6 linked regions of the Danio rerio genome follow. The protein of the gene in region 2 binds, or shares a complex with, the protein of the main gene of each other region. Links are inferred from orthologs where the notes say so. Each region holds a gene or a part of one and is shown on either strand. Other genes may lie near its edges. The genes, in order: dpm2, piga, pigp, pigq, pigc and pigh.

What was found.
Region 1: piga (region 2) and dpm2 share a complex: the UniProt entries of both Homo sapiens proteins name them as parts of the glycosylphosphatidylinositol-N-acetylglucosaminyltransferase (GPI-GnT) complex. The link is inferred for Danio rerio from reciprocal best matches to the Homo sapiens genes PIGA and DPM2.
Region 3: piga (region 2) and pigp share a complex: the UniProt entries of both Homo sapiens proteins name them as parts of the glycosylphosphatidylinositol-N-acetylglucosaminyltransferase (GPI-GnT) complex. The link is inferred for Danio rerio from reciprocal best matches to the Homo sapiens genes PIGA and PIGP.
Region 4: piga (region 2) and pigq share a complex: the UniProt entries of both Homo sapiens proteins name them as parts of the glycosylphosphatidylinositol-N-acetylglucosaminyltransferase (GPI-GnT) complex. The link is inferred for Danio rerio from reciprocal best matches to the Homo sapiens genes PIGA and PIGQ.
Region 5: piga (region 2) and pigc share a complex: the UniProt entries of both Homo sapiens proteins name them as parts of the glycosylphosphatidylinositol-N-acetylglucosaminyltransferase (GPI-GnT) complex. The link is inferred for Danio rerio from reciprocal best matches to the Homo sapiens genes PIGA and PIGC.
Region 6: piga (region 2) and pigh share a complex: the UniProt entries of both Homo sapiens proteins name them as parts of the glycosylphosphatidylinositol-N-acetylglucosaminyltransferase (GPI-GnT) complex. The link is inferred for Danio rerio from reciprocal best matches to the Homo sapiens genes PIGA and PIGH.

The regions. Positions count from the first base shown.
Region 1 is NC_133180.1:32,330,929-32,335,963, forward strand, and holds dpm2 (dolichol phosphate-mannose biosynthesis regulatory protein), read right to left. Parts: upstream 3,101-5,035; 5' UTR 3,046-3,100; coding exon 3,043-3,045; intron 2,247-3,042; coding exon 2,157-2,246; intron 2,031-2,156; coding exon 1,928-2,030; intron 1,339-1,927; coding exon 1,283-1,338; 3' UTR 739-1,282; downstream 1-738. UniProt on the Homo sapiens protein: Regulates the biosynthesis of dolichol phosphate-mannose. Regulatory subunit of the dolichol-phosphate mannose (DPM) synthase complex; essential for the ER localization and stable expression of DPM1.
Region 2 is NC_133184.1:32,052,626-32,057,229, forward strand, and holds part of piga (phosphatidylinositol N-acetylglucosaminyltransferase subunit A), read right to left. Parts: intron 4,344-4,604; coding exon 3,911-4,343; intron 1,396-3,910; coding exon 1,263-1,395; intron 1,183-1,262; coding exon 1,050-1,182; intron 24-1,049; coding exon 1-23. UniProt on the Homo sapiens protein: Catalytic subunit of the glycosylphosphatidylinositol-N-acetylglucosaminyltransferase (GPI-GnT) complex that catalyzes the transfer of N-acetylglucosamine from UDP-N-acetylglucosamine to phosphatidylinositol and participates in the first step of GPI biosynthesis.
Region 3 is NC_133185.1:416,256-421,387, reverse strand, and holds the start of pigp (phosphatidylinositol N-acetylglucosaminyltransferase subunit P), read right to left. Parts: upstream 3,497-5,132; 5' UTR 3,455-3,496; intron 3,350-3,454; 5' UTR 3,335-3,349; coding exon 3,247-3,334; intron 539-3,246; coding exon 466-538; intron 375-465; coding exon 256-374; intron 1-255. UniProt on the Homo sapiens protein: Part of the glycosylphosphatidylinositol-N-acetylglucosaminyltransferase (GPI-GnT) complex that catalyzes the transfer of N-acetylglucosamine from UDP-N-acetylglucosamine to phosphatidylinositol and participates in the first step of GPI biosynthesis.
Region 4 is NC_133178.1:25,531,388-25,536,404, forward strand, and holds the end of pigq (phosphatidylinositol N-acetylglucosaminyltransferase subunit Q), read right to left. Parts: intron 4,021-5,017; coding exon 3,906-4,020; intron 2,380-3,905; coding exon 2,318-2,379; intron 2,073-2,317; coding exon 1,920-2,072; 3' UTR 1,198-1,919; downstream 1-1,197. UniProt on the Homo sapiens protein: Part of the glycosylphosphatidylinositol-N-acetylglucosaminyltransferase (GPI-GnT) complex that catalyzes the transfer of N-acetylglucosamine from UDP-N-acetylglucosamine to phosphatidylinositol and participates in the first step of GPI biosynthesis.
Region 5 is NC_133195.1:16,064,374-16,069,599, reverse strand, and holds the start of pigc (phosphatidylinositol N-acetylglucosaminyltransferase subunit C), read right to left. Parts: upstream 3,128-5,226; 5' UTR 3,110-3,127; intron 96-3,109; 5' UTR 93-95; coding exon 1-92. UniProt on the Homo sapiens protein: Part of the glycosylphosphatidylinositol-N-acetylglucosaminyltransferase (GPI-GnT) complex that catalyzes the transfer of N-acetylglucosamine from UDP-N-acetylglucosamine to phosphatidylinositol and participates in the first step of GPI biosynthesis.
Region 6 is NC_133195.1:31,130,975-31,136,254, forward strand, and holds pigh (phosphatidylinositol N-acetylglucosaminyltransferase subunit H), read right to left. Parts: upstream 3,350-5,280; 5' UTR 3,232-3,349; coding exon 3,055-3,231; intron 1,572-3,054; coding exon 1,362-1,571; intron 1,285-1,361; coding exon 1,201-1,284; intron 1,105-1,200; coding exon 1,030-1,104; 3' UTR 1,023-1,029; intron 926-1,022; 3' UTR 511-925; downstream 1-510. UniProt on the Homo sapiens protein: Part of the glycosylphosphatidylinositol-N-acetylglucosaminyltransferase (GPI-GnT) complex that catalyzes the transfer of N-acetylglucosamine from UDP-N-acetylglucosamine to phosphatidylinositol and participates in the first step of GPI biosynthesis.

The sequences.
Region 1 (5,035 bases), on a different chromosome or scaffold from region 2:
AAGCTGAGAATAAAAGCTAGTATTTTTTCATTTGGGGTGAAATGTCTCTTTAACAGAATTTGCATTTGGCATTGATTGTTGTTGTTGTCAAAAAGGTTGTTTGCAGAAACTGCCGATCTACTGGGCTTTTCATTCATTCATTCATTTTTTTGTCAGCTTAGTCCCTTTATTAATCTGGGGTCACCACAGCGGAATGAACCGCCAACTTATCCAGCAAGTTTTTACGCAGCAGATGCCATTCCAGTCGCAACCCATCTCTGGGAAACATCCACACACACATTCACACACATACACTACGGACAATTTAGCCTACCCAATTCACATGTACTGCATGTCTTTGGACTGTGGGGGAAACCGGAGCACCCACGCGAAGGCAGGGAGAACATGCAAACTCCACACAGAAACGCCAACTGAGCCGAGGTTCGAACCAGCGACCTTCTTGCTTTGAGGCGACAGCACATCCTACTGCGCCACTGCCTCGCCCTACTGGGCTTTTATAGCAAAATAATATAATAAAATATTTAATGAGCATCCGTTCTGTGGGTAAAAATGACTTGTTAATGCAAGAGGCCAAAGAATAGCCAGACTGGTTCAATAGAAAGGTAAGCAGTAACACAGCACAAGAGTAACAACCACTATCATTACAGCTGAGATATTAAAATCACCTCAAACCCTAAAAACAGATGAGCTACAGTAGCAGAAGTGTTATGTCAAATAAATCATATAAAACACATGACATAGGTATATTTCTGTTCATTTAATGAGGAATTGTTTGAAACAGCAAAAAATCCCTTTCCCATTATTTTCAGACTCTTCTTCTGATATTTGAGGCTAAAAGGAAGCACTCTACCTCATAAATATGTCTATTTACAAAACAAGAGAACAGCTGAAACACACAGACTTAAAGCATAGTACAAGAACAATGAAACATTACTCCCATATTTCATTTAGATGTGCTCTAAACTACACACATGTCTTATGTGCCTATTTTATCATCTTATGTATTATTCACGCTAATTCCCTAAATCATTGCACTACTAGCATGGTCTTGAGTCAATGTTGTAGCTACTAGATGTACAAAGCTCAGGTAGACTATTATTGTGTACATGTTCAGTACGGCTTTGGTGAATTAGTTAACTCTATTTTGATGTTCATTTTAACAACTACAGCACCTGAACATGACAAATGACTGGATTCCAGAAGTTCATCCTCTTCACATGGATGAGTAAAACCAACGCTGATCATTCTTGCTGCAGTACGAATCACAACAACCTGGAGAGTCTTAATCAACTTTCTTAGGTTTTCGATTCTTCCATGTTACGATCCCTATGAATGTGCCTTAAAGAGAAGTAGAACATTTGATTATTAAATACAGAGGAAAACATGAAAAGCTTTTAATTTTAAGGTTAGCTGTGCAAACATGCTAAAAGTGAACAATGTTTAAAATCATTTAGTAAATCTATTTGCAGCGTTCAAGAAAATGCAAGAAAAACTATTTTGACAGAATTATGTTCACATAAATTTAATTAACACAATTATTATGTTAAAGTAAAAGTTTAATCATCCGGTTTAAATATTTCAAAACTATTGATTGTAATAATAATTTTCTGATAAATAATTTTTATTCTCAACATTTGCAATTTAAATTTTGCTTATCTGTTTCTATATTTTAGCTCCCCACGTTGATGTTGCTTTTACTATTTGTTCATGTTTGTGAAGCACTTTTGAGTTGTATGTTATGCTGGAAAAGTGCTATACAAATAAAATGTATTATTACTATAAATTATTATTTTTATTAAAGAAGGATTTTGTTTTTCGCTTTCCTCACTGAGGCATAAATGCTTAAAATGACCATATTTTAATCAAAATTTACAGCATGAACATGTCATGTTAATTTTTTTATGGTTTTATTACTTGATCTGCTTACCAACAAAGAGCAAGAGGATTAATGCTGCGATGCCAGGAAGTATGACTGAATATTCTCGTGGAAGAAAATAGCTGTGTATCACATGGTCACTGTCTACGAAAGGCTGGAATAAGAGCAGAAGAGTTTCCATCACTTTTTTTAGCAGCATATGTTTTAGTAGCACAGGAAATAAGTAACACATTGTGCATGATTTATCTACCGGTAAAAATGAATTTAACTGATCACTTACCAAGACTACCACCCAAATGGAGTAATATGTGAACAGCAAAAGACTAAAGCCAACGAGTCCAAAGCCAACAGCTTGATCTGCTCCGGTTGCCTTAAGATAAATAGTTTTTGGGCTTAGCTCATATATTAACACATCACATTTTATATAAATTGCAAAAATAAGTAATTCAATAAAATATTTATACAAATTATACAATAAAATAATATACAATTTCTTAAGTCTTATTTGGGGTTATTTCAATTGTATTTTACAATCAAAACAAAAATAATAATAATAATAATTTTACCTCAAGTTTAACATAAATTAAGAACATGTATGAAGATTTTAGATGCAAATATCTCTAAATGCCATCTGAGTTTTTCCTCTAAAATAAGCATTTTTATCAGATTCCAGTGTGTATGTTCAGTAATATCACTTTAGGACAAAGAATAAGTCCTTTTCCTGTTCTTTAAAGTGAAATATCTCAACATAAACAAAGGAGGTAGGTAAAAATTTTAAATTTTCCATGGAAATTTAGGATGGCACTTAACGTTAGAGGTTTTTGCATCTGAACTCTTCATATGTACATACATAGAGCTTATAAAGACTTTCTGTCTGGATCTCTGGATCACAGCAAAGTATATATTGGCCTAGCTTTCAGCAGCGGTCTTTAAACTATGAACGAACAAGTAATGAATAAATATAATTTTAAATAAAAAGTAAGTTATATAACATGTCTAAAAACTGAAACTCTCATGAACCAGACGCATCACATTAACTAGAAAATTGAACAGTAAGTTAACTCTCTAGGAACGACGAGGCGTCTTAAAATGTGTTCTGTAATATACAAAATATATAAATACACAGGACAAAACAACAATTTTATACCCATTTAATTTCATCTTACCATTACGAACGTGCCACTTCCGCATGAGCTGTAAAACGTACGTACTTCCGACAGGCAAAGGAAGTGCTGGGAATTGTAGTTTACAACTCACCTTGGTTTTTTCATTATTCATCACACGAGGGCGCACAAACACAGATCCAGGTTTAGATACCCTCCAAAAAGAACAGTATGAAACAATAGAAAAAAATAACATAAGAGATAAAGAGAAGGCATGTTCCCCCTGCGTTCGCCTGGGTTTCCTCCGGGTGCTCCGGTTTCCCCCACAGTCCAAAGACATGCGGTACAGGTGAATTGGGTAGGCTTAAGTGTCCATAGTGTGTGTGTGTGTGTTTGTGTGTGTGTGTGTGTGTGTGGATGTTTCCCAGAGATGGGTTGCGGCTGGTAGGGCATCCGCTGCGTAAAAACATGCTGGATAAGTTGGCGGTTCATTCCGCTGTGGCGACCCCGGATTAATAAAGGGACTAAGCCAACAAGAAAATGAATGAATGAATAAAGAGAAGAGAGAAATGGAAAGACATTAAATATTTATAAGTATTAAATTAATTGTTCACATTATTATTTATTAGCATAAAAAATTTGTTTTGCAAATCAGAGTTAAGGCTACTTACACGAAGACCTTAAAAGCAAAGCATATTTTCACAGTTTTTAAAGCTTTCTTATTAGATTCTGAAATCAACTTTATATTGGCTATAATTCTTTCTCCACATCTTTAATGAAGACCATAAAGGCAGCTGCAACCCAGTATTGGGAAACATCCACACACTCACATTCACACACATACAATACTTATTCTGAGAGAATGAGTTAAACTGATAAATATATTTGGTTTTGTTATTTTAGTATTTCGGCCCTCTGCTTGAGAAGTGTTTTTCTGCTCAGTGTGTGTAAGTGTCCAGTAGGTGGCGCTGTAAGGAAAAGTTTTGCATGTGGTTTTATGGTACATACATGATCATGATGCTGCAAAATACTACAGTTGGATTACATTAGACTATATCGCAGGGAGATGTGCACAAACACACACGTAGGCTATATACGTATAGTTTCCGATCTCCGCCGCCGCCGTTTGAAACCCGGTCCATTGTTTAACACTTCCATCTGAATTTCGGAGACAAATGTTGGCAGATACAGCCAGAATAAAAAAAAACAGTTGATTCACTTCAGTCTTCACATACAGTAAGGTCACATTGATCCTCATTCCACATACGAACCAGTAGAGTCAGACACAGGACATGTTATAGGAGGGAAACTATATTTGAACTAAGACAGTTAGCCTATATTTTTATTCCTGACTTAGTTAAACCCATCAATGTTAAATTGTGTGTTTGTGGAGATATGTTAAACCCATGATGCTGTTGCAAATGTTTTAGCAGTAATGCAAATCCTTGGCTACAACACTCTGGATCAGTTGGAACAAAAAACTTGGTGAAATGTTACCAACAACCCCAAGCAAATTTAGCTGTGTCTATATATTTAATTTCACCTGTGCTCTGTGTGCTCATGAAGCCTGCACACACAAACAGTCCTATATAATTGTTAAACTGATGCACATTTAAACATTTTATTCATCTTTGTAACAGAGACAAACACAGATTATACTCGGAGCTGAGTCCTTTTTTGTCATAATTCTGATTTATAATGTTACATGTCACCCCAGTGAATATCCTGTTACAATTGGATGCTTGAAACGTAACTGTGCATTTTCTGTTTGTGCTACAAAGATAACATGTAGGCCATTTAAAAGCTGACACTTGTAGCTAGTTTGAATCACATTTTGAACACACTGGCTTAAAATATCTCAAGGATATAGAAAGGTAAACAAAAAGTTACAACTGTACCAGCCTATATTTGTGCTTCTAATGTAACTTAATTATTTACAGACCAAAATGGAACAACTTACAGATCTTTTTATAGACTTTACTAAATAAAAAATGACCAGTTGTAGTTTTAAACTGGTTTTCTGAATATTCTGAGTTGGACAAGGGGGAATATGACA
Region 2 (4,604 bases):
CCTCCAACACGAGTGCTCACCACCTGCATAGACACATTTAGATTTACAGATCATCCATAATACAGTGTTTAACAACAACAATGCATATCCTGTTTTCTTATTATAATGACAAAACCATATTATTTAATAAAAAATGTAAATATTTCAAGCTAAAATGGAAAGACTAGCATAAATATATGTCATTCTTTTTCGTTCTTTGTCTGTAGTACTTGTCTGCTATTAATAATTAATCCCTGCAAGTTAATCTACTAAAAACAGAAATGTTTGTTTTGATAATCTTTAATGAAAGTTTGAACATTTGCTTGCACATTTGGAGTGATGGTATTTCGGTTGACGTCAACCTCAGGGCTTTCATAGAAACTGAATATCATTATCCTTAATTATGCCCTCTTACCATTGCTATGACAGAACATTTGCAAAAGAAAGCCCCACTGCTACTGATAATGGAACACTGAGTAGCAGCGGGGCTTTCTTTCGCACATCGAAACGTCACATCAGACATTCAAACTAGACTAGGGAAATCAAAGACTTAATAAGCATAATAGGTAACCTTTAAAGTATGTGACGTTTCAGCTCTAAATACCACACAAATAATGTTTTACAACTCTTTGAAACTGCCCCTTATAGGTTTTGATCCTAATGGTGTCATTTTGGTGACTGTCACTTAAAAGTCAAATGAGATTAGGATCCCAGTCCTCTTTTTAAAAGAAAGCGGAGCTACAAATGCCTATGTCAGCATAGTGGCAGATTAAAAAACAAGCCTAATATCCTATGCTAATGAGGGAGAAATCGTCACTATTGGATGGGACTTCATTCTCTGATGACATGTATAAAAGTAGAACGTCAAAGTGTTTCTGCACAATGCTGTTATTAACTGTGATAAAAAAAAATTAATGACACATTTTACCATTAGAACCTGGTTATGTTCACAGACTTGCCACACAAAAGAAATCTTGCATAATAGGTCCCCTTTAACTGTCACTTGCAACTTATTTTACTTCAATAATGTGATTTTATTTATACAGATTCATAAAAATAAACATATATACCTGCAGACCACAGCTGGCTCCCTCCACAATTGCCATACAGAAGGCCTCAGTGAGAGATGTGTTGAGAAAGATGTGACCCTGAACAAGGACATCCCTCACATCTTTATGGTCTAGAGCTCCTAGCAGACGAACCCTTTATATATACATAGATAAAAAGAGTAAATGAATAAAGAAAAGAAAATATGCATCTCTCAAGCCAATTCGTTTTCTCACCTGTCATGAAGCTGATATTTCTCTCGAACCTCTTCCAATATAATTCTTTTGGGTCCCTCTCCGCCAATCAGAAAGCAAAGATCCGGATGCCTTCCACATAGTTCAGGAATGATTCCACTTAGTAAATCTATGCCTACAAAACAATATAAGGTAAATAAATCAAAGGGTTGATAAAATTACCCTTAAAAAAACCCATCGAAATAAAAATTAAAAACTTATATATACAGAATCCATGTCTTCAATTATGTTAATATAACATTTAATAGATAATCAATAACCTATTTTACTATATGGTTAATTATTATAAAACTATATTAAAATATAATTATATTAAAATAATTTGGTTTCATATTTGGAGGCAAAAAATAAAAAAATATGATGACAGTAGAAGTCTCCAGATAATATTATAATGAAATAAAGCATCAAAATTAGTTTAGGGCAATAAAAAATAAGCCCCTATTATGGGTTTTTGAAAATGACCTTCCATGCAGTGTGTAACACAGCTAAGTGAATGAAAACATCCAGCTGAGGTCTAAATCTAAAAGTACACCATATTTAAAACTATTGATTCTTTAACTAAATAGTTGACTCAGAGTTGAATAAACGAATCGAGTTGGGTTCGGATCTTTTGTTTGATCGCATCGACGTCGATACGGCACATCACCAAATATGTAGTTCAGTTCCGGTAAAATGTGCACACGCTTTTACTTTAGACACTAGTGGAGGGGCGGGGATCACGGGACTAATTATGATGCGAAGATGACGATCACTGATAGATGGAGATTCGGCTGTAGAAAAAAAAAAGGGTTAAAGTTCATTTTCACAATAATACCACAGTATAGCCAACCTAGTGCTGCGTTTGTACCTGTTATTTTTCTGATTTTTGATACAATAACCTACACTGCAACGTGGGATTTGCTGGGCGTTTGCTATTGAAGGAGCAGCAGAGACTATGGGACTTTTTTCAGACTTTGACAGGGACTCTGTTAGTAACTTTTACAGTTCATATGGACCAGTTTCTTCTTCCTCCAGATCATAACATGTAAGGCTGCATTTACACTGCAGATCTTGATGGTCAATTCTGATTTTGTGACTGTATCCAATTTTTTTGCTGCAATGCTTACTTCATCTTTTAAAAGTGACTCGTATCCGATTGACTATATTTACACAGCACACGGGAAAGGTGCAATGTGCACGAAAAAAAGTGTGGGCGCTGACTGACAGCTGACAATAAAAGAACACTCTTTTCTTTATTCCTGTATTTACTATTCCTGTTCGTAGGGTTTAATTTTTTTAATTCTTTTTGACATGTTGTTTTACTATAGTTTATGACAGAAAAGTTCTCCTCTGGCCATCTTCTTTTAATCTAGGCTTTTTTTAAACCAGTAGGCATCTTAATGTTGCCTTGTATTGTGTAGTTTGCAAAATATGTGTTTTATTGTGTGTTATAAGTTGTAATCACCCCGTGCGGCTTGTAATCATGTATCAATTATAGATCAGTGCTTGTATTGTATCCCTCTGGTTAAATTTGTAAAGGGCTATTCAATAACGTGTCCAAAACTATGTTAAAAACGTGACGTGTGCTTTTTCCTTTACCAATTTAAACTCGTTTCCGAACTGGCGATCATCTGCTGCTTGCCTTTGCTACAGCCACCATCAGCTGTTCCTTACACGCGGCATGGTTAATTTTCAAAATAGTTCAATTTTTTTGCCGCAGTGTGAATTAATACTGAATACGTGTCGCTGTTATTACTTTGGGTTAGGGTTAAGAGTAGAGTAATATGCTGGTGTTTAACTGCATTGCTTTATTGCATTGCTGTATTGGGCTCTCGCATACTCTCTACTAACTTTACTTCAAACTGTAGCAGTGGAAGGCATTTCTCTCTGTCTCGTGCTAAACGCAGTTGACCAATCGCAACAGAATGGGTCATGGGACCAATCAGCGCAGATGAGCTTCATGCGAAGGAGGGGTTTGGGAACAAATAAATCACTGAAGGATTCATATGAATGTCACTGGGATAATTAGGTAAAAATTAATGCGGATTATAAGACAATGAAAGTGATTTTGACCGTTCATGCATTTCAGCCTGTTGTTGGAGACCCCTAAAACCAAAATATGACCTTTTTAATGCAAAATGGGGGCTTTTTAAACCTTTTCTTGAACAGTATTATAGTTTAGGTTGCAATTTATTCTAAAGTGCATGCACTTACTTGAATTTGCATTGTATTTACAGTGGGTCTGGGTGATTAATCAAAAAGTAATCGAAATTGATATTCAGAACCTATAATCAATATAATTTTTACAGGTACATTTTTTCAATTACTTACTGCGCATGGAGTCACATGACCCCACTCTGTTGAAGCTAATTTACACTTTTTATATTTTGATTTATATTTATTATATTATTTTGATTTTATACTTCTGCCAAGTGCACGCGTACGGTCCGGCACAGCCTTCACATGCCCGCGCACCACTCCAAAAAATGTAACTACACGTCACAACGTCATGTAGTGCAAGCTTTGTGTACAAATATTGCAAAACTAAGTGCAGTCAAATGATGTGCTAACAAAGTTTTTCATTTTGACCCCACACAATGCCTATTATTCCAATTTTCTGTACTACAAAAAAAGCAGCATGCTCTGCTGACCTTTCCTGTAAACCAGTCGACTGATGACCACAATGGTGATCTTGCTGTTGTCGCGGCGACAGGGGTCAGGGGTGAAGTCAGTGGGGTCGACTGCATTCGGAATAACAGAGACGATCTCAGGATCGAGAGTGGCCCGCAGTACTGTGTTTTCTTTACTAGTGTACGACACACACACAATGTGATTAGTGTCACACAGAGAGACAGTCAGCAGCTTGTTGGTCAGGACAGAGCTCAGGTCCGCAAATCCAAAGAGAGAGTGATCTGTGAAGACAGTGTTGAGCCCCATAGTCTTGGCGTGGAACAGAGCATCATGGGCCATCGCAGAGAATGAGCTGTGAGCGTGAACAATTGTGATGCATTCACGCACAAATATACACCGGAGCAACGGCAAACTGTGAAAGCAGGTAGTGGATGTGGACTGGTTATACATCACCTGAAAGATAAAAATACCTAAATTATACTTGCAATATGTTTATTATATAAAGTATGCATAATATGGCACTAAATATGGCAAGATATTAAATTAAGTCCTTGATTAGGATTTGACTTTATTTATTTAGTTAGTGTGTAATGTTTCTGTTTCAGCATAAGCAACATCTGCAAAGATATTTTCTTTTACAAAAATATTTTTTTAAAACTTACAACAACAAAAGAAAACAAATATGAAAATAAAAGAAGAAAAAAAATGTATGAA
Region 3 (5,132 bases), on a different chromosome or scaffold from region 2:
CCTCATTGTGGTGTTTTGGTGACTGTCGCTTTAAATGCAAATGAGGTTGAGCTCTTTTTAGAAGAGGGCGGAGCTACAGACGGCTATGCGTCAGTGTGTGTGTTGTGTATGCATCAGTGTGAGTGTGTCTGCAGTCTGTGGCTCCTGTCTCTGTTCATCTAGAACTGCACATCTATAATGCTCTGAGTCTCCGCTGACATGATCTTCAGCAGCTCAAACACTAATGGCTCATGTGGTGTTAGTCTGAATTCTCACCTGTGATGTTGTCCACTGAGGCCAGCGGAGCCGTGTTCATCATATTCACTCCGAACAGTAGCACGAAACAGGTGCTCAGGGCCACCAGCAGGTATATGGGGCCCGCCAGAGCCCAGTATCTGACGACAGACAGACGGAGAGAGAGAAAGAGTGATTGATCAGACATTAAACATCAGCATCTGAAGAGCAGACGACAGACAGACCACTCACTTCTGCGGCCAGTAGGTCAGTCCGGCTGCATGGAGCCAAGAGTCAGGAACAAACGCCCAGACCACATACAGCACTGATGGAGAACACAAACACACACACAAACAAACACACACAACACCACAGATGAAGAACACACCAGCAGCTGCAATGTCTTCAAGATAGAGGTGTTTGTCAAGCAGAAGTACTGTTTTCTGTCATGCTGCATGTTTATTCAGATATCAATTATGAGTCCAGAACAAATAAATAATGCTCAAGTCATTTATAGTGAACACTGTAGTGTTTCAGCGACTGAGTCAAGTCCTGAAATTGATCTGCTGTGGTGATTCTACAGTCGCTATGGTAACATGACAATTATAATAATTGATCTGCTGTGGTGATTTTACAGTTGCTATGGTAACACATCTACAGTAATTGATCTGTTGTGGTTCTGCAGTTGCTATGGTAACAAAACTACAGCAATTGATCAGTTGTGGTGATTCTACAGTTGCTATGGTAACAAATCTACAGTAATTGATCAGTTGTGGTGATTCCACGGTTGCTATGGTAACAAAACTACAGTAATTGATCAGTTGTGGTGATTCTACGGTTGCTATGGTAACAAAACTACAGTAATTGATCAGTTGTGGTGATTCTACGGTTGCTATGGTACCACAACAGCTACAGTAATCTATGAGTCAGAACTGTATTCTTCTACAACTTTAGAGCACAATACACCACACTTTACCTGAGTAAACTGAAGTGTACTACAGTACTTCTTACTACAGTCAGCATTCAGCATCATAGCTAAACATACAGACAGTATAATGCCCTGTACTCTAGTGTGTGTGTGTGTGTGTGTGTGTGTGTGTGTGTGTGTGAGACACTGCTGTCAGTCTGTAGATTCTGTTGATGTTTCTGCCACAGGATTAAAGCCTCTCTTCATCTGTAAAGGACAATAGCCGCGTTTCCACTATCGCGCCTAAAGCGAGCGAGCCAGGGCGAGCCAAGGCCAGTGGGGTTTCCACTGTCACTTCCGGGGCCTAATCGGGCCAAAGCGGGGCTTTCTTGGGGCCAGCGGCCGGCCTTTTTCGGCCCGCCGAATACCTTGGGCCAAGGAGGGCCAGCTGGGGCTTCGGGGCGGAGTGAAAGAAGAGGCGGACAGTTTTCTGATCGCACATGAGTACATGCGCCAAACAAATAAAGAAATAAGGGAAAGAAAACATCTAGCCTTATAGTCTGGGGTCTTTTTGCGTATGATCACCCTTATGTTTCCCTTTTAAATGTAAGGCTCCTGCATAAAATAATAAAGTTGTTTTAATTTATAGTGACGTTCTTTGCTGCGTCCTCCTTTATGTTTCAACGCATAATAATCTTTACACCATATTAAAAACACAGCAGACAGTAAAAGTTTTCGAGAGTTTTTGTCAAGTTTAAAATGTTTGTTTGTTTGTGCACGTTTAGATGCCTGTATGTGTGTGTGAGACCGGGCAAAAGCGCTCCTTCACAGCTCTGTTATGCCGCGAGCGGCTTTTTTCTTTATTTATTTTGGAGATAATACACATATAAATACAACAGAAAGACATAAACTTAACAAAATACGTGCCCACTTTCGTAGACTTTAAACAATATATTGTCATATCTTGATAAAATAGCCTAAGGTATATTGAAATATAATTTAAAGAATTACAAATATCGGATATATAATCACATTAAATAAATTAACCAATATAAAATAAACAAAAGCTAACTATAACAATGTAGGTAGCCTATATACAATACATAAATCAAACCGTTTTAAAGCCACATATAGCCTAACTTTCATTTTGCAAAGACCTGTCTGAAAAAAAAAAAGATTTTCGATATTTTTTAAAAACAATAAACACCGGAGAAGGTTTGAAATATTTATATAAAGTAAATATTTATATAAGTAAATATTTATAAAGTATTTGGATACGATGATATTAATCAAATCGCGCAAACAGAGCATTATTTGAGTGAGTGAAAGCAGAATCTCCTATACCTTTTTTTCTGTCACTCAGTCCTGCGCAGCACTCGCTGCTTTAAACGCATATGGGGGAAGTCCAAACACAAAATGTGTTCTATATCCTCAAACAACTGTTTATGTTTTTATTTGACGTGGTTAAATTTATAAATGAAACTTTAAATGAGGAGTTTTAGTGAATAGCTGCCGAGCGCAACAAATATGGCTATATTTTATTAGGCTACTCGCTCTTGTGCTGAAAACTTAACACGACTTCTATCAACAAGAGGATGTTAAAAAATACATGACATATTGAGTTATAAAGGAGAATTTCTGTGGCTTTATATTATGGATGTGTGCGCTCTCTGTGTTGGGTCCCTGCGTTAGTGGCGAGAGCACTCCATGCACAATGCAGTCGGTCGGCGAGTAAACAAATGTAATGAATGGAAATACACAGGTCTGTGCGTATAGACATGTCATGTACTGCTGTACAGTAACGTGTCGTTTGTTTGTTTCGGTTGTCTTCATTTTAATGGTTTCGTTTCGTGATGATTTATGGTGTGCTTTATCTGCCTGATTCTCGCTGAAGTGGGCGGGTTGTGTGACGTTTGATTCGGGGACGTTCTGTGGGCGGTGTTTGCGTGACGCGCTGTGAGCTTTAGCCCGACAGTGGAAACGCGACATGATTTCAGCCTCATTTCTCAACCTCCCGGGCTGTTGGCCCGCCCCGGCCCGATTAAAGCCCTGGCTCGCACTGGCCCGATAGTGGAAATGCGGCTAATGTGTGTGCAATATCAGTACAGATCGAGTTAGAGACGTACAGAAGCCCAGCTGAGCGCCCAGGAACAGCACAAAGCCGTAGATGGCTCTTTCCGGCAGAGGAGAAGGAGAGTTCTCCACCATCACCATCTCCAGCAGCGACACCTGCGCGCGCACACACACACACACATCAATGCTCCAAACTAACACATCACACACGCTTTAGTTTCGATAAATACTATAACATATAAAACGAAAAACAGAACATACATGTCTTATTTCCTGATGGTGCTTCCTTGTGTTTCTGCGCAGGCGCACTGCGTCCTGCCGCCCCCGCGCGGCCTGGAGACAAACAAACGCGCGCGCACCTATTATTTGGTTTAATGCTCTGATTTTTATTTTCCATATAAATATTGTTTGTAAAAAATAATGTTGATTTTGAAGACGCTCTCTCTCCTTCATTCACTAATATCTGCGTGTATTAGCTCGGTCTGATATTCTGTGTGTTTATGACAGATTAAGAGCATGTACTTTACCGTACATGTTAAATATTTGTTGTGTTCAGCAGTTAAAATGAAGCGTATAAGTGTTCAAGTAAAACAACTAAAGAAGGCAGTAAATGACAACAGAATTAAAATGACTGGGTGAGCTGTGCCTTTAAGACAAACGTTGGTGTCCGCGGCCGAACAGCAGAGGGCGCGCTGACGTCACTCCGTCTAGAAGGGATACAGCTGCGGATTCTCACATTAGTATAGCACAATCTATACGACACTACAACAATATTGATTATTGTACATTACTGTGAGGGTAGAAGATAATTAAATACAGTTTAATGGGTAATTTAATAAATAATATGAATAATACTCTGTATAATTACTGTTTTTACATTACTGTGAGGGTTGTAGTAATACAATACAGTTTAATGAGCATTTTAATAAATAATATGAGTGATATTCGGTATAATTTCTGTTAATCCATTGCTGTGAGGTTTGGGGTTGGGGTAGGTAGACGTCAATACAATGTGCAATTAACTCAAATACAATTAATGGCTAATTTAAAATAAAGTAAAAACAAGTTGTTACTTCGGACAACACCTGTATCCCTTCTAGTGGTGAACAGCAGAGGGCGCGCTGATGCCACTCGCGCGGGCGAACAGCAGAGGGCGCGCTTCTTACTCCGCGTCAGTTTCGCGCTGCAGTTGATGCGTGAGGTTAAACATCAGGAAACAGTGGAGCTGCTCTTCTGAATCAGGTCAGTTTATAAACATTTCTCCCCGAATATTCACGACTGATGGACGGTTAGCTGCGGCAGCGCGTGTTCTTACTTCCGCGACGCCCCGCGTGTCATCAACACAGGTAAAGCGTCTGCCAGCCCAGAATGCGTCGCGTTCAACTTCCTGGTAAAGTTTGCGCCTTTCAGTGCGATAATTACAGATGTGCGAGCTGATCTTTAGAGGAGAAGAGATTAAACGCTCAATAATGGCGGAGAAATGACGAGTTTGGCGCCTTTTAGAGGCAGAAAAACACGAGCTGAAGGAGAAAAGCTGAACTCCTGAGGCGAAGCTGCGGATAAAGCGAGCAGGAGAGTTTACCTCAGCTTTACCACGGCACAGCTCGGGTTTGAGGAGAGGTTTGGCCAGGTTTGTGTCAGTTTAGACAGTAAACAGCTCGTGGTTTTGCAATGGAAGCCTCTGGGTCAGGTGTGTCTCCCCGAGGTGCATCATGGGAAGCGAGGCTGCTCTGATGTTTGCTGTAAAACTGTGCAGTTGGTGTTTACTAGGTTTATATAATGTTAGACACATCCACTCATTCCTGAACTCTTGTGACAATCTGTGACCCTCTCCATATGTTGTTCACCGCGCTACTGTGAATATTGGGTGTGGAACTGAACATTAGCACTGTTTAATTGACTGAACTGTTGTACTTCAGGCTCAGCCCTGCTCCTGGAG
Region 4 (5,017 bases), on a different chromosome or scaffold from region 2:
TCTATCTATCTATCTATCTATCTATCTATCTATCTATCTATCTATCTATCTATCTATCTATCTATCTATCTATCTATCTATCTATCTATCTATCTATCTATCTATCTATCTATCTATCTATCTATCTATCTATCTATCTATTCATCCATCCCATATTTTTCATTTTCCAGGGCAATATTATATAGATACATGGTTTTATTATTATATCTGCTGATATTTTATTATAGCCTATACTGTTTGTTTGAATATTAACATTTATTTATTTGCACTCCATCTTCAGCATGCAAGTTAGTAAAGATGATGGCATTGCGGAAAGGTGCAAACAACATTTCAAGGCATAGTTCAGCCAAAAAAAGATTAGTTACTTACATAATGCTCACCCTGCATTGGTTCTGTTTGGATTTCCTTTTTTGCTAAACACAAAAGAAGGTATTCTGAAAATTGTTAGAAACCTGTAATCATTGATTTCCATAGTAGAAAAAACAAATACATGGAAGTAAATGGTTAAAGGTTTGAAAAAAACCTTTAACTTATACTTAACTTAAAAACTTATTTTGTGTTCATCAGGAAAAGAAACTCAAACCGGTTTGTACAATTTAAGGAAGAGTAAATGACAAAATTGTCAGTTTGGGGTGAACTAACACTTTGGGACTTTACGGTTTTCATTATTATTGGTCAGTTTGTCTGCTTGACAATGCCATTTAATTGCACTGCAGCAAAAGAAAAAAAAAAGAGACAAACACAAACTGAAAAACATTTTTGTTCAGGTAAAACAGAAAAGGGAAATTTAGTTTAAAGAAATTTTAAACTAATCTAATATCTTCTGTCTAGTCTAATCTATGTTGTGCATATTTTTCAGTTTTCACCTACACATCTTTGTGTCAGATATACACAATAGCTTCATGTCCTCAACACAAACATGAAGGTGAATTCCCAGATGTCAATGAATAATCAGTTGCCTGGCCTGTCATTGTCGTGTTGTTCATGGACTCCAGTCTGAGCACATTCTTCACAGGCTGTTCCACCAAACAAAAGATCCAAGACCAGTTATACACACTGTACACCAGTTGTTTACAGCTTCAACATTCATCACCAAAAAAGCGATCTAAGATCCAGAGATACTGTATGTATACAAATGGATTAAATAAACTTTATTAAAGGGTTCAAAGATAAAAAAAAAAAATGGCACAAAATTAATTCCACCTGCATTTATACACATTTTATTAACTCATAACATTATTAACTGCTACAAAAACACAATTTGGCAATGATTATACAAGAGGATCATGGTTAAATAATTTAATAAAAAAAATGTAACTATACTTAACTCAGTCAGTTCACATTGATCAGGTAGATTAGACTTATATAAATGTATACAATTTTATAGTACCACTTTAAACTTTATAGTACTTTAAACAACTTTACTCAAGTCACTTTCCATCTACCTAGCCTATCAGGAGAGGCTAAAAACTAATAAGGTTGACAGTTTTACTTCCAGTTCAAATAAATCTAATAAATTGGTAGTGATACAGCGATCAGAATTAACTATCAAACTTACAAGTAGTACATGGCACATCTTCAAATGTTATACAAAAGTAGAAATAGACTTAAAATAAATACAAAAATAATCACAGTTTCAATCACAGAAATAGTGATTCAATGTTTATCTAATTATTTCATTTAACATAATCTGTATTTTTATAAAAGAAAAACTATTAAGACTATTTTGGAAGTGAGTGAAGTTTGACGAACAGAGCATGTTTTCCCCAGTGTGCACATGTCTGGTTATGTTAGTCTAGTATAGTGTTGTCCATTCCTGAAAGAGTTTAGCTCCAACCCCAAACAAAAAAGGCAGCTGTGTTGGCATAAGTTTGAGCTAAACTCCAGAACCAGAATTGAACAGGCATGGTACCTCAAAGTTAGTCTGTCTTGTCAGTCTTCTGCTTCCAGGGGTAAATAAGTTCTCCTACAAATAGTTTCTTGCACAATGCGGCCCATGAATCCTTAGGGTAACAGCTATAGGTGGGCGTCCGGTAGCGCTGTAGTACAGAGCTGCACTTCAATGGGTTGATCTGAGGGTGGAGAAAATTATTTCTTTTTCTGTCGTTCATGTTTGCTCATCTAGAACATCATTCATTATCAAACCTCATAGCTAAGCAAAGCATGTCCAGTGTTTGTACGGATTATGAATTCAACCAAACAATAAGCCTTATATAACCCATCCCAGAAAATCAACAGGTCAAACCCAAACCACAAATGAAACTCAATTATAAGTCAACCGCAGGATTTTAAACTGTTCTCCCAATAATAAACCTACCTCCATCATCAGGTGAAGCGGAGATCCTGACTCCTCACAAAGCACTTTGAATTTAACACCCTCTGGAATACGAAGACATAATATGTACTGTTATCATTATTTACTTGTTTAGGATATATCTTTTCACATTACGATTCTAATGCTTAATCATTTCATTGTTAACCCTTTAACAACCATCGTAACCACCTGGTCGACCTTTTATCCATAGGCTATCATTATTATTTTAATTGCTTATTACTATTTATCAGAGTTGTGTCAGTATATTATTCGATTTAAACATTTTTTTCAAGGAGTGCACCTTAAAGGGTTAAAATTACTCTAATCATTTCAAATGTGTTCTTTTAAAGAGTATATTTGCATTATGGTGCTATTATACACTTTATAAAATGCAGGGTTCCATACAATACCGTTATGTTGCTCCAACACAAATCAAAACAGTAAACCTAACCATTTTCACAAATTAAAGTGATTGAACATAAAACAATTAAGTTATCCCCCCAAAAAACTTAAGAATTGTGTTGTCTCAAGTCCTTTTAAATAAGTAGTTAGAACAAGAAGCAAAAGTCATTTTTGAGTGTATGAACCTTTTACAGATTTCCTGGTTGTTCAGTAGCGGAAGTCGTCATAGGTGGGTAAACGTAGAGCGCCGTGAACAGGAGAGTACAACAATTTTTTTTTTTTTACAATCCTATTTGCTTAAATAATAATAGAAAAACTTGCAATGGTCAGCAATGGTCAGTAACCAAGGCTATTCTCATGGCAAGAACATTTCAATAATAAATATACAATTAAAAAGAACAAACAAATGAATATGTAAATTAAATAAGATTTTCAGTGCTAATACAAGATAAAAAAAATTCAAAAGTTTTTCCTGGTGTCACTTTATTAAAAATGTCCTTAAGAGAGTTCATTTAATAAAAAAGCCTTCTGGAATTATTAAAAGCAGGACAGTACAGTAAAATGGGGTTTCAATGGTGTTATCAAGACTTTCAAAAAAAAAAAAAGGAAACAAAAATTATGTGAGACTATTAACAGCCAGAAGAAAGAACAAGGTCAAATTTACTGTCCTGTCTATACACTCTGCATTACAAACGCATCATATAAGCAGTAACTCGCTAATATATTGCAAAGAGGATATAATACATACATAAATCCACATAAATGTGCATATGTATTTTTAAATCTAAACATAAAAAACCTTTAAGGATTTACGATGCTGAAGCCTGTTAAAATGCGTCAGAACAGTCCTGTAAAAAGGGTCCATTTTAATACTGGCATTCTATAATGAGTTCCATAAAATGGCCCTTAAATGACATTAATATAATTTATCACAATAAATTTAGATGCAATAAATCATGCAACAAAAATGTCAAAAATGTCATGACAAGCTCAAAGATGATTTATATAGTGTTTTAAATAACAGATCAGCTATAAAACAAAAAATAAATAGGCAACAGGTGAGATAATCACAACAGGACATGGACGTTCATAATTTCATCTTTATAATCAGTTGTTATATTTTTAAAAAAAGTCAACGATTAAATCAAAGAACGTATGCATTTCTTCAGTATGATGCAGTATGGCTCACCTGCCAGTCTGTATGGTCTGCAGATGCGCAGGCCGATGGCAAACAGGGGGAAAGAGTTGATGAAGTCGACACTGAGGTGAATCACTCCCTGAAACAGAACCACCACCAGCCGCAGCTACAAGCACACAGACAAACACATTACAAACCCACCAACCCAGATGGAACTACATACGGTATAGATCTTTTTAATTCAAAGATTTGAATTAAGACTTGGCGATGCAGTGGCTCGGTAGGTAGTGCTGTCGCCTCACAGCAAGAACGTCACTGGTTCGAGCCTCAGCTAGGTCATTTGGCGTTTCTGTGCGGAGTTTGCATGTTCTCCCTGCGTACGTGTGGGTTTCCTCCGGGTGCCCCGGTTTCCCCCACAGTCCATAGACATGCGGTACAGGTGAATTGGGTAGGCTAAATTGTCCGTAGTGTATGAGTATGAATGGGTGTGTATGAATGTTTCACAGAGATGGGTTGTGGCTGGAAGACCATCTGCTGCATGAAACATGTGCGGTGCATGAAGTTGGCGGTTCATTTCGCTGTGGCAACCCCTGATTAATAAAGGGAATAAGCCCGAAAAGAAAATGAATTAAATCGATTAATTAAGACTTATGTTCAAAACTGAAAGTCTGCATGAAACATTTGCGAAAAAAAAACATAATTTCTATCTAATGAGTCAAAGAGACGATAAACTGATAAACTGGCACTAAATGACAAAAAAAAAAAAAAAAAAAAAATTACTGAGGTATAAAGTGGCAAGGTGAGCTTTTCCCTTGCACTTCATTAAATTAATTAATTAAAATAATTGCACCTCAAAAGATAAAAGATTAAACTCAATAAATGAATGGCAGTTTTTGGAAGTGCGAGACTCTTTGGGAGCACAGCTGCTCAAGACTGGGATGTAATAATACTAAATCACTTTGATGACAGACATTGGCTGAGACATTATAGAATGAGAAGCAGGGCGGTGGCGCAGTGGGTAGCACTGTCACCTCACAGCATGAAAGTCGCTAGTTTGAGCTTCGGCTGGGTCAATTGGCATTTCTGTGTGGAGTTTACATGTTCTCCCCGTGTTTGCGTGAGTATCCTCCAGTTGCTCCTGTTTCACCCACAATCCAAAGACA
Region 5 (5,226 bases), on a different chromosome or scaffold from region 2:
TCCACATAGTTGTCTGGGAAAGGCTGCCGTTCATAGAGCACTTTCCTCCACGGGACGGCCGAAGGAGCCCCTGGACCGCTGTCTGCTCCCATCGCCTGTCCAAATCAGAGAACACAGTGGCTGAACATTAGCTATGCATGATATTGGGAAAAAATGTGACATTGCTCATTTTTAGTTTTGCTGCCACATTAGGAATTCTCTATTGAACATGACATGTTTTTATCTAGGAATAATGTTTCTAAAGGAGCTGTTGACATGAGATTGATCCTGATTTTGGTAAAAACTCAAACAATACAAATATTAAAATAGAATAAAATAAAACACATCTGAAAAATAAGTGATGTGTAATAACAATGGAATGACACAAGGAGAAGTGTTGAACTACTGAAATACTTCATATAAAAAGCTTTTTTTGATGATGGCAGCTTAAAGACGCCTCTCATATGGAGAATGAAGTCACATGAATTGCTAAGGTGTGAGTTCTTCAGAGACTTCAACACTGTGTAAAAATCTTAATGGTTATGTGAGTCCCATCTTTCAAATCTGATCTTTAATTTGTATTTTTTATTGGGTTCAAGTCAGGTGATTGGCTGGGCCATTCTACAGCTTGATTTTCTTTCTCTTTTCTTAGCTGTGTTTTGAATCATTGTTTTGCTGAAATTTCCGCTATGGTTTCCTTTTTATCATCCTGCTAATGTAGATGTTGGACTGAAGCAGCTGATATTAATTTACAATGGCGAAGAAAAGGGGGTTGCTGAAGAACTACTGAGAGATTTCAGCTGCTGTCTGGGCTTTTATTGTCATTCTGCACCTCTCTATCTTCATGTGTTTAATATTTTTTCCCTGCTTCATTTTTTTTATTACACATAACTTTATTTGTAAAATAATTAGATTTGTTGTCTTTGCATACTTAGATTTTTTTGATTGTTTTAAACATCTGGGAAATATTTTAAGTCAACAGCGCCTTTAGTAATATGTTTTCTGAAAAGAAAAGGTGATGTGTGGAATACTTATTTCCCCCACTGTTTTGTGACACGAATATAGTTTCACCAGATGAATCGAATACTTCTATTTGGAAAGATTTCATTAATTTAGATCGACTGATTGATCAAGTGTTTTTCTTTTATTTATTATTTTATTGCTTTGATGATGCAATTAACCCTTTGCAGGTAGTTTGATTGACAGGCAATCCAGCCAATAATACTGCTGATATCCTGCGATGATCTTGTATAACTTTCTGCATTGTTGTCAAACAGGCATCATGGTAGAGTAACATTTTACAATACAATGGTGAAAATAATCTCATATGGGACTCCAAATGGTACTCAGGTACACAGAAAATTATTTTCTATGCAGTGAGTTTGCATAAATCATAATGCATTACGAGCATTCATTCATTTTCCTTGGGCTCAAGCTGCAGTCACACTAGAGTTTGTGTGTGCAAAATTCTGTCGTATGGCGATGCGAAAAGGGGCGGGATTAAACAGAATTATTACTATTAAGCATTAAAAAAAGCGAGCGATTGCTCCGTGTTTTCAATTTCTTTTCTTTTTTTCTTCAATTTCAATTTTAGGCCAGTTAAGAAACCAATATTACCGAATATTACCAAAATATTACCAAATATAAGAAACCAATATTAATAACCTAGGTTGTTAATCACAACAATGGAAAATGTTCACAACAATGGTGGGGTGGGCTCTAAAATGACAATACTCAGATTTTAAATTTGGAATAAATGTTATAAGAAAACAATATTTTATATTAATATTTTAAACAATTTGTAAATTCAGTACATCCAGAGAAACTGAGAAATTTTCATTGGTCTTTAAGTACACTTAATTTTTTTTTTATTGTCAACATTTACTCCCCCTTCACTTGTTTAAACCCTGTTTGGGTTTCTTTCTTCTGCTGAGCACAAAAGTAGATGTTTTGAAGAATGCTGGTAATACGTATGGGTTGATAACCGTATTCAAGGTATACCACGGTTTGGAAAAATCAAGGTTTTAAATTTTTTTTTTTTGCTATACCGTTCCAATGGTTTATGTAGGTTTGTTTGTTTTTATGTTTTTAGGACATAAGTATCTCCAGCAGAAGATATCCTAAAATGCCATTTTTAAATTATAAATAAATCAGTGTTTTTGAAGCTAATCAAGAGGGAGGAAGTCAAAGATTGATTTAAATTATTTAGCCTGACATGTTTATTGTTACAAAATATTTTTAAAAGTTTGTCAAAATAAAATATATTGTGTTCAAAGGTAGAAAAAAGTTTGTTGTTTATCCAGACGATTAAAAAGAATTTATTTTAGAGCAGTAATAGCAATACCGTGATATTTTCATCCAAGGTTATCATACATCACAATCTTAAACCAGCCTATCGTCACCTTAGAATAATAAGGTTTTATCTGCATTCTGAATGATTTTAAAATATTGAGCTTCAAAGTTTTTGCATTGCATAGCAAACAGTATGTGTGTAACATTTGTTTTTTAAATAAAAAATCTTAAAATGTAAACAACTTATAAAAAAACATCGCATAATGTAAATAAGTTGTCATTTAGTAAGAATATGTCAATAACTCAGTTTTGACAAAAATGTCAAATAGAACCTTATAAGGTGACGCCATGTCTAGCTGATACCTGGCACCCTTTGACTTCAATAGCAATTGCTTTGCCTTTGTAAGTAGATGGGTCCCAGCATCCATCATTCATCAAAGTATCTTCTTTATGTTCGACAGAAGAAAGAAACTCATAAAGGTTTAAAACCAATTAGAGGGGCCAGTTAGATTTTTGCGTGAACTACACCCTGTTCTCCACATATCATGTATTTGCTTCATAGTTTATATATAAAGAAAAACATTAAACACCACAAAACTTTAAGCAGCATTGTTTATCTTTGTGTAAGTAAAACGTGCATTTAATCAATCTATTATTATCCTAAATGTCAAGCGGTATCTGACTGACAGCTTCTCACGTCAATCTGATTCATACAGAATGAATCAATCATACAGTCATACAGTAAGCCAGCTGGCGACAGTGTATAAATACAGACAAAATATATTATTTCATATCAAACTTATACAGAATAATGTTCAAGATAAATCTAAAATCTTACCGAATGAGCAGGGTTTCCTGTATTTAGCCGCAGCTGTCAAGCCATCATACATCCGGAAGTGACGTACCAAAAAACAAAAACAAAAGCGCAACCGTGGTATTGACTGAAGAGCGCCACCTGACGACTGTTCCTCACAACCGCCGACGAGTGAAAAGTGAGATGCATATACATTTAATATTTATATAGTCTATGGGTAATCCTCTCTTGATTAATTTGTAACAGCATATGACTAAAATTTAAATAAAAAAACAGTGTTTAGTAATTTGAGTTATTGTTACATTTGTTTGACCCTCATTAGTGGATAATCATATTTGGAGTCCGTCTGCACACAAACAATTTATTTTCATTCATTTTAGTTACTAATATTACACTAATACTTCAGTATTAGAGTATTTAAAATAATTTGACTCAAACAATATTGTATAACACAGGGCTTCTTTCATTTGTAGCGGACTCCTCAAATGTGATTGATTTTATTTTATTCTACAATTATTTTTTTTCATTCATGAGGAAAAAGTGTCGTTTTGGATGTGACATGTCTCCATAATGGATGTGACAGATGTACAATTGCCACTTGTGTGACTTTGGTAAATTAAATACAGTAGTTTGAAAAAATTGACAGAGACATTTATTTATTTATTATTGAATTATTTTTAGTTTAGCACTTTAATACTGAGTAAAACAGCTTATTGGCTTTAAAATGAAGGATTTATTTCATACAGTTGTAATAAAAGTCCATCAACGAACGTATAGAAACACCAAGCTAAGATTCATTCATTCAGATGTAAAAAAAAAAAGCATCAAACCTATTCACAATCAACATGTAGTTCTAGATATTGGCCAGAAGGTGGTGATATGAGATCAGAAATTCAACGAGAAAAGATCAGTAACTAAAATAATGTAATATATATATATATCATCCTTTATATTAAGTCAATAATAATAATAATAGTAATAATAATTGTTTCTATATTTTATAATTGTGCAGAGTCAGATCAAGGGCTGCACAGTGGCGTAGTGGGTAGCACGTTCACCTCACAGTAAGAAGGTAGCTGGTTCAAGCCATATGGTCCAATTGGCATTTCTTGCATGTTCTCCCCGTGTTTGCATGGGTTACAGCAGTACAGGTGAATTAGCTAAGCTAAATTGTCCATATGTGTGTGAATGAGTATGTATGGATGTTTCCCAGTGATGGGTTGCAGCTGGAAGGGCATCTGCTGCATAGAACATATCCTGAATAAGTTGGTGGTTCATTCTGCTGTGGTGACCCCAAATTCATAAAGGGACTGAGCTGAAAAGAAAATGAATGAATGAATGAATGAATGAATGAATGAATGAGAGTCAGATCAAGTTAAAGGCTATGAACTAACTTGAGCAACTATGATGAAGCCACTATTACATTGGAAGCACAAAACAGTCTGACCAATAGACAAACAGAAAAGCACAGAGCAGAGCAGAAAGAGCAGCAGATCCTAGAGGACAGACACTCTCAGAGGAAAAGTGTTGTTGTAGAAACACAGAAATAGACCAGAGAGAGAGAGAAATCATTTTTTTTTACCATACTTAAATAAATCAACTTACTTGTAGGCATGGGCCGGTATAAGATTCTGACGGTGTAATAACCTTGGATATAAATAGCACAGTTTTACTGTTTCATGGTATTCTGCTCAATGCTCTAAAATCTGTTCTTTTTAAATGTCTGGGTAAAAAACAAGAACTTTTTTCCCATTTGAACACAATATATTTTCATTTGAGAAACATTTACAATATTTTGGAGCAGTAAACATGACGGGCTGAATAATTCAAGTCAATCATTGACTTTTGCTGTCTTCATTAGTTTCAACAACAGACTTCTTCACAATTAAAAACAGCATCTATGTATGAGAGATGGAGATACTGTTGTCCTAAAAACAAAACAAACAAAAAAAAAATGCAAATAAAAAATCTTACACATACCTTTGTAGAGCTGAGCGATATGGCAAAAATGTCATCTCGAAAATCATTTTCCATATTGAACGATAACAATATATTTTTAAGTTGTTAATGCTTTAAGATTTTAAAAGAGTATCCCAACAAGGACTGAAGTCACAAAAATTAGAGGATCCGATTAAACAGCA
Region 6 (5,280 bases), on a different chromosome or scaffold from region 2:
ATCATGTAAAAGGATGCGTTGCTTTAGTTTTCTTTCCCTGATTAGGGAATTTAATTAGCTGTAAAAATGTCTAACAGCTTATGTGACATGTATCTTTTTAAATAATAAAAATAATAACAATAAAAAAAACTAAATATGAACCAAAAAATTAAGACTGATTATTGGTGATTGGGTGTCAGCCCGATAGGGTAGCTTTAAATGGAAATAGTAAAATAAGACCTGTGTAAAATGATTTAAGACTCGCAGCACAATATTGCAGTGAATTTCAAACTTAAGGCCTAAAATTTTGTTTTTTGAAATTTAAGACACTTTATTACTTTGTAAGACCTCGGGGACACCCTGTTAAAAGCATTTAAGCAATTATGTCTGTAGCTTTAACAAAGATTACTTGTATTTAAATATTTATACCATACAGTAATTGTTTCAGTGTCATATTTATTTCTGTATTGTTAGTCTCACCAGTGAACCATAGACCATTGTATTTTCTGTTGTACTTATTTTTTCTTGTGATTTGTTATATTTGATCCAAATGTGCTCCCCTAAAATGGAAAATAATAATAATAATAATAACAATAATCACCCTAATCAATCTAAAATAATGAATTATTTCTGAATAGATCTATTCAAGTCTTCATATTAAAATATATATTGAAAATATTCCGTTGTCAGTTTTTTTTAACAAAATTATGCAAAACAAGTGTGAACACATCCTAAAAAACTAAATGGCTAATCATTAAATAATGTTTTAAATGAGGCAAGAATACTGTTATGTACAAACGTTTTTGAATGCGAAGCCTATCTAAAAACTTCTGCATGTAACAAAATGCATTGTGTATTACTGACAATACAAAAAAGCTACCAACAATGTGCTTATGATTCGTTCTGGAGTTTTCCAATCTTCATTCATCTTCAAAGAAAGCCTCTGCTGATCGAAAAACATGGAGTCATAAAGCATATATAGACACAGAACTATGTCAGTCATGTAAAACATGCAGAATATCTAGCAAAACATGAAGCATTACCTCTGCGTCATCTGCTCTGTGCTAGAATTTCTTGACAGCTCTTGTACACTTGAATCAAACAATTGAGCCGAGGCTTTGAACTCTGGAGGAAGAACCAAAGGTGTTCATTTACATACTGAGATGTCACAAATTCCTATAATCTTGCTTTTGCGAATGAATAACAACAGCTGTTTTGAACCTGGAAGAGAGGAACAACACTGGTCACCGTCTCAGGATCTGCTGGGTCCTTGATGAGAATGCACAGATAGTATATGATGTTGTGCTGAGGAGCAAAAACACAAACACTGATTATTTTTACATCTCGATATCTATCATGCGTGAAGGTCACTGTGTGTTTACCATATAAACAGCCTCATTTATGACGATGTCTTTCAGCTTGCTCATCTCAATGAAAGTCGTGCTTTCTCGTCCAGAGGCGTAAGACGAGGACAATTGGACACCCAGAGAGCCTATTATGAGAAGGGTCTCATGGTCCACCTTCACAAAGTGAATATGAATCACCATCCCAACTAAAGTGAGGATGATGGCACTTGACAGAACCGCCGTGTTCTGAATATTAAACAGAAGGAGAATTATATTAGATCAATAAGAGCAATTAGGTTAGATTTATATTGAACATTTGCTTGACATTCACGAAAATATTTCATATATTCTATTATAATATCAAACTTTCAATCGCAGCCATGTTGGAAATTCCTGAATAAGTTCTTCTTGCTTAGTACTAAGTGGAATTTTGAGATATATACTAGGGCTGTATGATATTGGGAAAAAGCTGATATTGCAGTATTTAGTTTTTTGTCAATACACATTGAGATTCTGTAAATAAATTCACCAGATGAAATGAATAGCTCTATTTGGAAAGAATTTACATAATTTTACATTGATTATGATGATTTTGTGGAGTGTATCTGCATCAAATTTAATAAATCAATCAAAAGTATTGATAAAAACAGTAGAGCAAAGCGATGAATGAAAACAACAACCTTCTAGCAGTATTCGGGTACTCAAATTGAGTAATCAAATGTAAAATAGTTTTCATTATTTCATTATGCATGAATGCTTTACATGCTTACACAATCACAGGCCTTAAAAACACAAACATGATTAATTTGGGTTCCTGTTCGACTATAATCCTGCCAAATGAAATGGTTACTGAGTGTATTGGATTTAGAGGGATACGACTTTATTGAACCAACATATTCTGTATTTTGGTTTTATCTTCTTTAAAATTGCATATTGTGATGGGTAAAGAAAGCATTTTTTATGGTTTGGCTCATGTGATAAAATCACTGAATACAGTTGAAGACCACATGATCAGCCTTACTGTAAAATCCTTTTTCTTAGAATAATTGCCGATGGATATTTTAACAGAGCAAGGAAAATATTTACAGTATTTCCAAATATACTTTTCATTTACACTTTTTAGAAGCTTTTTTTTTTCAGAGAAACTATATATTGTTTTCTTATTTTGATCTCCAAATACAGCCTCATGCACAATCAAATGTTTTAACCTGCACTCAGCAGCTGTAATAAATGCACTATAAATGACAACGTAAACTACTTCTGTTTCCTCACTATATGGACGTACATTTTAAATATGTATTTTTTTTCCCTTAAGAAATATTAAATATTGGCTACAGATCAAACCACTGTTGTCCAATGATTTGACCTAGTTAACCCTAAATAACCCAGTTAAGCCTTTAAATTGCATTTTTAGATTAATATTACTAGTATTTTGCAAAATAAATTGTAAAATATTATTTAATTTCATTATGGCAAAAAACAAAATAATTATGTTATCATTAAATTCTTTTTTTAAATAAAATCTTCTCTAAACGTTAAAGAAAACTTGGGAAAATAACTTAGTAAAAAAAAGTTCAATTTCAAAGGAGGGCTAATAAATTTGTTTTCAACTGTATAATAGACGTTTTCGCGCAATGTCAAATCAAAGTCCAATAAACAGTCATTTTTTGTCTAATAAACAGCAAAAGACGCCAAGGCCTTCATAGTCCGCATGATAAAATGTTCTTACCTGGGTGAAGAAGAACACAGCATAAGCAAATAACCACACACAGCAGGTGTACACCATCACCTTGCGCAAGGACAGTTTGGGTGAGGTAACAGTAAACTCTCTGCAGAAAGAAGAGTGCGTTTGGCAGTCTAAAGAAATCCAGTTGCCATTTATGTCTGTGAACTCTTCGTCGGCCATCTCGATCACTGCTGGTTATTTCGCGGTCGGAAAATTACATTAATAAAGACTTCAGAATAAATAGTTTTGCTTAGATTATTATTTTTCCACCAACAGTAAAACCATCTTCTTCTTATGATAATGTGACGTTGGCAAAATAACATACAGGTGCGTTTTCGCCATCTACTGGACTGGGGTTGAAAACTCCCATTCTGGACCACAAAACCAGTTGCACAAAAATATTTAGCTCTCGCTCCAGTGAAAACAAGTACACTGTAAAGTACATTGTAAAAGCCTAAATGATCTTTTTCATTAAGTTATTTACTGAGCTATGTTTCACAAAAATATATTTTTTTAAATAAATACAAGTAAATAATAAAATTTTTGATTAGTAATATTTGCACCTCCAGGTTGGAGGAAAGTTCTTACCCCAGGTAGAGGAGTTTAAGTTTCTTGGGGTTTTGTTCACGAGTGAGGGAAGGATGGAAAGTGATATTGACAGGTGGATTGATGCAACGTCATCAGTAATGCAGTCGATGTACCGGTCCGTTGTGGTAAAGAAGGAGCTGAGCCGAAAGGTAAAGCTCTCGATTTACCGGTCAATCTACGTTCCTACTCTCACCAGTGGTCATGAGATTTGGGTCATGACGGAAAGGAAAAGATCTCATATACAAGAGGCCAAAATTAGTTTCCTTTGAAGGGTGGCAGGGTGCACTCTTATGGATAGGGTGAGGAGCTCTGACACCCGGGAGGAGCTCAGAGTAGAGCCGCTGCTTGTCCACATCGAGAGAAGTCAGCTGAGAAGTCTGCCTCCTGGACGTCTACCTTGGGAGGTGTTCCAGGCATGTCCCACCAGGAGGAGGCCTCGGGGAAGACCCAGGACGGCTCTCGGCTGGCCTGGGAACAGCAGGATACCCCCGGAGTGCCATGTGAAATACGCTAACTGTTTTGATGTTATTAGATTATGCAGTAAGACTATATTAACTTGAGTAACAATTAAAATGTTAAGTATTTTATTTTATTTATATTTTAGTGTCTTTGTCACCAGCAATGTGAAGGTAATAATCGACCAAATAAATGTAGCCTACAATAAAAAAACTGCCTAGTACATTCCCATAAATTGTATTCTACCACCATTTTGTTTTTGAAATATTTTTCAGATGACCTCTCCCCATTGCATTATCGATTCTTTAGGAAATGTATGAGATCTGACTGCATTTCCCATCAGCCCCTGCGGTCGGTAACCTTTGACTCCCGCTCCAGTGAAAACAAGCCGATCAGCTGATCTGACCTGGCAACAACATTCACCCGAATCTACCGGGGAGGGGAATCATTTTACAAGCTGGTGGGCAAAAACAGTTATCTTCACATCAACCGGCTTATTGTTTTTGTGTTTATGACAGAGTCGTTGTCGTGTGCGATGTTTGAGGGAATTCAGCAGCTCGTTTGTTGAAAACTGCGGTGTGATTCTGGCTCGAAATCAGCTTGTTTTGTTCGGTCAAAGCTCTGTTGATCAGTGTGTGTTGTTGGGTGAACATACTTTAAGGACTGTACGATACTAAACCATTATTAATTCAGATACAGAAGTCATATTTTCTAACCCCACTAGTATTTAGTCTTTGAAACTAGAGGAGACAGCCCAGTCACGTATGCTAATCGTAGCTAGCTTGAGTAACAAAAGCCCAGGGCGATAACAACACTCGAATGTAGCTGTTTTCTCAGTGTTTATGTCTGCCAATACAAACATTTCGATACTTATGGCTTGTAGATTGTCAGTTTAGACCGCTTGAACACTTTTAAATCAATTAGAAAGCTCGACAATCTGTCCTAGTGCCAGTGCTACACGGATGTCAACTGATCTATTTATAGTTCATATTGAATATTTGATTTTAAGCCAGTGTCATAATTTGACATCACATTTTGAATTCCAATGAAATTCACAGCAGACGAGTGAGATATATTGTTTAGGACGCTAAATGCATTATCTATGAGGTATTATATAGCGTGTCAGTAGTTGATTGTACATTTAGGTTGCTCTCTGCTGTAGTTGAGTAACTTTCAGAGAAATTT